Linked DNA regions of Cricetulus griseus. The protein of the gene in region 2 interacts with the protein of the main gene of each other region in a pairwise test. Links are inferred from orthologs where the notes say so. Each region holds a gene or a part of one and is shown on either strand. Other genes may lie near its edges.

The links. The genes of interacting proteins can lie anywhere in the genome.
Region 1: the proteins of Prmt1 (region 2) and Speg interact in binary tests that used the Homo sapiens proteins (3 or more experiments, as listed by UniProt). The two-hybrid records come from large-scale screens. The link is inferred for Cricetulus griseus from reciprocal best matches to the Homo sapiens genes PRMT1 and SPEG.

Annotation. Positions count from the first base shown.
Region 1 is NC_048595.1:428,521,093-428,524,836, reverse strand, and holds the start of Speg (striated muscle preferentially expressed protein kinase), read right to left. Parts: upstream 2,649-3,744; coding exon 2,255-2,648; intron 1-2,254.
Region 2 is NC_048599.1:153,870,667-153,874,410, reverse strand, and holds the start of Prmt1 (protein arginine N-methyltransferase 1), read left to right. Parts: upstream 1-1,173; 5' UTR 1,174-1,244; coding exon 1,245-1,280; intron 1,281-3,508; coding exon 3,509-3,562; intron 3,563-3,744. UniProt on the Homo sapiens protein: Arginine methyltransferase that methylates (mono and asymmetric dimethylation) the guanidino nitrogens of arginyl residues present in proteins such as ESR1, histone H2, H3 and H4, FMR1, ILF3, HNRNPA1, HNRNPD, NFATC2IP, SUPT5H, TAF15, EWS, HABP4, SERBP1, RBM15, FOXO1, CHTOP, MAP3K5/ASK1, MICU1 and NPRL2.

The DNA of each region.
Region 1 (3,744 bases), on a different chromosome or scaffold from region 2:
AAAGTCACCCCCACCCAGCAGAACTTTTTGCCACTTTGTATCTGTACATCTGGGTATGTGCTCAAAGGTGACATGCTTCCGCTCAGTCCCTTCCTCCCATCTAATGTGAATGTCGGAGGCCTTAAACCCAGGTCCGCAGCTCTCAAGGCCTTTCTTCACTCCAGTCCCCACTGTTCACCAAGACAGCCAGGAGACTGTACCCCTATGTCTAGGTATGTCCAGTCCAGGCTTATCTCTGCCCAGTATACCACCCTGATTCAAAAGCAGCAAGGAAACAGCCCTGCTGCGGGTTAGAGGTAACCTGTCTTCACAGGTGACAAGCCAGGCCAACTGATTAGTAGCGAATTCTAAGACACTGAACAATCTCTCTTTCTCTCTCTTTCCCTCCCACAGAATGTCTTGAGTAGTAGAAAGGCCCCCAAGATCACCAGGATGGAACAGGATTGCAGTCCTGGTACATCATAACCAGCCCTTACGCCGTGTAGACCTCCTTCCTCTCTTGCCCACACTGTTCTTACCTGTCCAAGGAAGCATTCGGAGCATCAGTTCTCTGTGGACCTGTCCAACATCTAACAAGCATTATGACCACCACTCTCTTCCTCTGCCTTCCCTTTTCCTGATCTCATCTCTCTCTCTCCTCCCAGGTGCATTCTTATTAATTTATCTACCTTAATCTTTGAGTTACAGTCCGTTTTCAGCTTCTTTTACTCCCGACTATAGGTAAATAAAAACTGCAAGAATCTACTCCTTCAGCTCAGAATTCTTCCAGAGCATGCTCCAGCCCCTAGACCCAGGTTAAGGAAGTCTATACTGGCAGCTTGTAGGCCAATTGGAAGCCACCCTTGGCCTTCTGTAGGCCAGGTCTGGCCACTGTGACCACAAGAAGACTCTAGGAAATGGGCAGTGTGAAGCTAGGGAGAGAGGACACACACACACACACACACACAGAGAGAGAGAGAGAGAGAGGGGGGGAGAGAGAGAGAGAGAGAGAGAGAGAGAGAGAGAGAGAGAGAGAGACTCTTCCAACACCTGACTGTACTTTGGATTCCAGCCTTCTTTCCCCTCCACCTGCTGGGGTCTTTCCTCTCTGGACTTCCTCTCCAGGTCCCAAAGACCTGATCCTGACCACACCATCCTTGTCCCAGTGTTGATCTTCAATAGAGAAGGTCCTCTACCATCGAGTGGAATGAGATGTCTCTCAGCAAATGACCAAAGCAGTGACACTTGCCCTCTGCCCCCAGCCCTTTGCATCTCTACCAAATGAAACCTACTCCTCAGAATTCCATTTTTCAAAGCTTTGTAGGTCCAAGACTGTCTTTGGTTTAGAGAACTGTTTGGCTCAGAAACTGAAACCCCCAAATTGACCCAAGGACTATCAACCTGGCCTGACACCCCCCACCAGCTACAACAGGACCATACTACAGGACTGAGTGAGGCTTCTGCTCCTCTCCTCTCCAGGCCTCAGTACCTCATCCTAGAACTCTGCCCTCACAATAGCAAGGACATCGGTCCAAAGCATGTCACCTGGACACTCACCTGGGAACCTTAGTAGTTATATGTTCCACAGGCTTTCAATACCATCTCCGTCTACCCTCATTCTGCATATTTGTATTAACACCCCAGAGTCCGGAGCCTCCCACAACTCACAAATGCCTGAGACACACACATCACAGGCAGACATGCAATGCACACGGATTCCCAAGCAGCCACTTCTCATGTCTAGCCTCAGTTCCATCTGCTGAGGCGCTGGACCCTATTCATACACATCTGACCCCTTCCACCTTGCCTGATCCTGACCACACCATCCTTGTCCCAGAGTTGATCTTCAATAGAGAAGGTCTGGCCATCCTCCTCCCATGGCCCCTTCAGAAGCACACACACACACACATCTGTGAGGGGCTGGTCACCAGGTCTCAAGTCTGTCATTGGAGCAGAAGAGGGCAATTCTCCCACAGGAGGTTTCTCTCTACTAGGTTAGAAGAGCTTTCATACTATCATCCAAGAGGTCTGTGTGGGTCTCAGGCTAGGCCCATTAGCTGCTGACCCTTGACCTCTGACCTCCATGTGGGAATCCTCTCTACCTTGACATACTTTCCCTGCCTTTCCCTGTTGACCTGCCCTTCATTGGGCACAGCTGAGAAAACTGGACACCTGGGAAGGTGGTGAGGGACTGCAACCTGCATTGCATGGCCTGGGCCGCTGTCTCTACCCCTGTGCCCCCAGCCCTGCCAGGCAGGCCCCACCTCTGCATTACCTCTGACCTCCAGCACAGTGAGCACAGCCTCGCAGGAGGCCTGGCCACGCTCATTCTGGGCGCTGCAGCTGTACACGCCGGCGTCCTGTGCCCCGCAGCTCCGCAGCCACAGGCAGCTGGGCTCTGGGGCCGGTGTGGGCAGGAGCTGCCCATCCCGGAACCAGCTGAGGCTAGGCTGAGGTGTCCCACTCACTACCACCCGCAGCCGCACATCACTGCCCGCACACACCGCCGCGTTCTTCAGGGGCCGCAGGAAGACCGGCGCCCCGGCCCCTGCCCCGGTGGGGAGGACCCCTCTGCCGGCCCCCACCTTGGCTCTCTTCGGGGGCACCCCGGGGCTGGGAGGTGCCCTCGTGCCGGCGTCCTCGCCTCGCGTGCCCCGGCCCTTCTGCATGGCCTCTGTGAGCTGGACTAGACGGGCAGGGGACGCTAGAACTGGGTGGCCAGGGGGACGCCCCGGGGGGTATGGTGCCTTAAGAGATGGGTCCTATGGGGCCGGCGGTCGGCCTTCCTGCTGCCCGCCCGCCTGCAGCCTGTGCTACCCAGAAGGTCACCAGGGCCGCCCGCGGTTGCGCCTCGGGGACTATTTTTAGGCCCCCCAGCTCGGGTTGCGAATGAGCAGTGAAGGGAGGGGGTAGCAGAGGAGGGGACTTGGACTCCATGTGGCTCCTTCTCTCTCTCCCAGTGCCCCCATCGCCAGAGCTGGCCTAAAAGAATCTCCTCCCCCCACGGTATGTCTGTCCCCCTCACCCCCGCCCCCAGGCAGCGGTAGCTGGGGAGTCGAGTTACCCCTGGGCTCAGGCCCACTTCCTTTCTTCAGCCCAGCTCCCCAGCCTCACTAGGCTGCAGGAGAGGAAGAAGAAAGGTCCAGAGGAGATGTCTGAGAGGTGCATGGAGAAACAGGCCCCAGCGGAGGTGAGCAGAGGGACCAAAAAAAGGCTCTCCCAGCATCTCCATTACAGCTGGTAAGCAACAAGACCCACACCCTGGAGTTCTGGTGGAGTTTTGGCTCCTAGCTGGTCCTGCACTCACTACTGCCAACACCCCACCTTCACCGGCCAGGTCACCGCCAATCCTCTAGCAATCTGCCCTTACCTGTAGTTGGCTAGGAATGTAACCAGCAGCAAAAGCAGCCAGGGCAATGGAGACAGAAGGACACCACGAGGAGAATATGGTGAAAGAGGGGTTTGGAGGGCTTGAAATGTGGGGCTCCATTCCGAAGGCAGGAAGCACTATGACTGATTGCAAGCTTTTGTCCATAGTTGTGGAGGTTTTACACACACACACACACACACACACACACACACACACACACACACACGAGTAGAGACAGGTGCCCAGGCCACTAGACACAGGTTGCTGTCCCTCACTACCTTTCCAGGTGCTCAGTTTTCTCAGCTGTGCCCACTCTGAAGGGCAGGTCACCAGGGAAGGGCAGGGAAACTGTCAAGGTAGAGAGGCTTCCCACATGGAGGTCAGAGGTCAAGGGT
Region 2 (3,744 bases):
CCAGGACAGCCAGAGAAATTCTGTCTCGAAAAAACAAAAAGAAAAATCATACTGGCTGGAAGAAGTTTACACAAGCCTTAAATCCCAGCACTTTGGAGACAAAGGCAGGCTGTACCATGAGACTCTGCCTCACACCAGATACCTTACGTGTGCAGCAGATGGTGCAGTGCTTGCCGCTCAAGACTTGACACACGCACGCACACGCACACTAAACAGTGTTAGGAGTCGGAAGGAAGAAGGTCATCTGAGCACGAGGAGGCCTGGAGTGGAGAGGCACATTTGGGAACTTAAAGGACCCTGTGCTTGGGCCGAGTACTGGTGGGACAAAAGGTAAGAGGCAGGGGCACAAACCCAGCAATTGGCATCCATCTTCAGGCCAGGAGTAACTTTCTGCAGATCCAGGGAAACTTCCTGGAGGAGATGGAGTCCAAATTGCCGCGTGGGAGTTGGCCAAACAAAGGGAGATGGGTGTTTCATGCAAAGGACTAGGAGGCCACAGGTCTTCAGAACTCGGCACAGTCCAGTACAAGGTTATGGCTCATCGCACTGACATTCACTACGACTCCTGACAAGTTTCAGGACCCCTGATGAGAACGCCTCCACATCTACTCACAGCGACTCGGCATTTTCCCCTAGCTCGCCCACGCGCCCCAGTTCCGGAGAAGCCACCGAACGTTGATGACTGATGTTCCTGGGAGCCAATCGCTTCCGCCCAAAGCCCCGCCTACCTCCTTGTGGGCCAATGGTCCCTGTCGTTCTTGGCCAGTCTCTCGAAGGGACTGGAACAAGAGCCCTGCAACGTCACGTTTTGCTCAGCTAATTGCGGCGACGGAGAGGCGGGCCATCTTAATGATCCACAGCAGAGTCTCTCGACATCCGCTTAGCGCGGAGCCCGCCGGGAAGCTTCAAGGCGGAGCTGGCCGGAAGGAGGCGGGAAGACCTGGTGGGATATCCTCCAATCATCACATGCGCTGCCTAAGATAGACAGACAGTTGTTCCCTTCCTAGCCGACAGGAGGGGGTGGTCCTTTGAACGCTAGGAGGGGAGGGCGCCCGAATTTTGATAGACGTGCTCAGCGCCCAATTGCAGTGCGAGGCGGTTAGATTGACGGCTGCGCCAGCCATTGGAAACTTATGGCGGGGTCTCGGGGGCCGGGCGGTGGACCCTCTGGTAAAAGGCGGTCCCCGGCCGGGGGGAGAGAGAAGAAAGGGGGGGGTCTCGGAGGCCGGAGGACTCGGGTGAAGATGGCGGCAGCCGAGGCCGCGAACTGCATCATGGAGGTGAGTAGCTGGGCTCTTTAGGCCAGTGGGTAGGGGGAGGACGACGGGTTACCCACGGCCTGAACTGTGGAGACGGGGCCTTGGGTGTGCTGGGCCTCGCGGAGGTCCGCATCGGGGGATGTGTTCAATCGTGACCGGGGCGACCCCAGCTTATGGGACTCTCGGACCCCGCAGTCGAGTCGAGGGCCGTCGCACGTGGTCGCGGGCCGGGGGCGCGTCCAGCCGGGCCGCACGTGGTCGCGCAGCGTAGCGTGGGGAGGGGGGTGTGCCACTCGAGGGGCCCCGCGGGTTCCACGTGCGGGACAAAGGCCCCGCCCCCGGCCCGGTGACCTGGGCTGCACTCCGGGGGTCCTGGGGGGTGCCACCTGCGTCCTGCTGTCCGCTGGGTGGTGGACATCCGTGCACCCTCGTGGGGCCTGACCTCACTTTCCTCCACTCTGAGTTACCCCTGTGCGGTTGGGGGGGGATGGGCAGAGCCCTGTGACCTCTCTGTTAGAGGATGGTGGGGCATCTCCACCGAGGAGATCCGGATCCGGCGCCGGGCACCCCCTCGTGGTCATTATGGGCTTGTGAAAGGGGCTCTTTTTCATGGGGCGTGGCCCAAAGCCCACCCCCTCATGGAAGCGCCCTCGGGTGGATGGTCAGAGGTCGGTCTTGGGGCTGGATGGCTATGTAGGCACGCAGACCAAGGGGCCTTGACCCCCACCCGACCCCTTTTTTAGGATTCTCACCTTTGCCTAATTTCCCCCCCAAAACAGAATCAAATTCTAGCACCTGGCTTATTTGCTTACAGTTGAGTGTTTCCACCCCTGAGCTGTATTCCTCAGTCCACTTTTTACTAACTTTGATGCAAAGTGGGTCTGGCCTTGAACTCACCCTGTAGCCCAGGCTGGCCTTGAACTTGCCATCTTTGCTTAAGCCTTCCGGGTAGCTCTCGTGAAAGACTTCACTACTAGGCCTGTAAATCAGATCCTCTCCTAGTCTCAGGTTTCAAACCCTCTTCAGGAAGCCGTGTGGTGGTGCATGCCTTTAATCCCAGGACTCGGGAGGCAGAGACAGGCGGATCTTTGTGTGTTCAAGGCCCATTAGAACAAGTTCCAGGACAGGCTTCAAAGCTACACAGAGAAACCCTGTCTCAAAAAAAAAAAAAAAAAAAAAAGCCAGAAACAGAACAAACCCTCTTCAGTCAGTTGTTAACCTGCTGGTATCTGTACTACTGAAAAAGAGAGGCCCACATGGGAACTCCCCCCACTGGCTACCCGACCCCTGAGGTGGTAGATCGTGGCCTCTCTGGCCTTAGATAGCAGTCATCTATCTAATGGGATAATGATGGGATATAATCTGGTGGTACCCATACCTCTTCAAGTTCTCTGGAGAGGAAGGTCAGTTGCTGGGACACCTGCCATGGGGATCAGTTCGCCTACAGTGTCACTGAAGTGACCCTGGGCCTGGCACTTGTGGACAAAGGAAAAAGAGGGCAGTTTTCAGTGTGGGGACCAAGGTGGGGTGTGAAAGGGGGGGCTTTCGTAAGCTCACACGTGGCGGTGGGGCTCAGGCGGATTTTGGCAGAAATATTTATCGTAACAGCTTGCCCCAGCTTTCCAAGGCATATTTTGTACTCCTGGGGGGCAGCCCTCTTCCGGGGGCAGGTAAAACAAAGAGCCTTGCTCTGTGTGTTCCTTGCCCGGGTGGAGCTGGGGTGGTGTACTCACTGTGGTGTGGGGGTATGCCACATTTCTCTATTGGAATGATCTTTGGCCAGGAGACAGGATTGTGATGGGGCAGACAGGTGCCCAGCACCCATTACCTGTCAGCCCCCTCCGGTTTATTCATGGCACTTCAGCCTGGTGTGTCTGTCAGGAAATGTCACCTAATCTAGGGGGGATTAGGTAGTGAAGGGGAGCAACAGCTGAAAGTGCCCATGTGCCTTGGCAGGTATTGGGCCCTCTGGCCTAGATAGGGTAGGTATGTGTGGCCAGTTATCTGACCAGAGAGGGACAACATGGGGCGGGCCACCATCTCTTCAGCCAACAGCTGGGACAGGAGACCCCACCTTCCTTTCCCTCCCCACTTGTATCCCTTCCTTACACAACTGCAGCCACACTGCTTGCTCCTGCTTACACCACTCCCATGCCCAGGAAAAGCCAACCTGCAAAACACTCACTGCCCCAAAGGCCTTCCCCAGCCACCCCAGTAGCTAACCCTTTTTCCCTGTTACTCTCTCCTAGAATTTTGTAGCCACCTTGGCTAATGGGATGAGCCTCCAGCCGCCTCTTGAAGAAGTAAATATCCTTTTGTGAGACCCCCCCAGCCCACTTGCATATAAGCATACTTTGATATGCACCTGGCTCCTCAGGAGGTCTATTCATCCTCTTGCTTCAAACCAGTTTCCCCTGCTGTGGCCCCTAAACACATAGGACAGACCCCTTCCTGGCCCAAGCTGGCTCCCCCAGAACCATGGCTG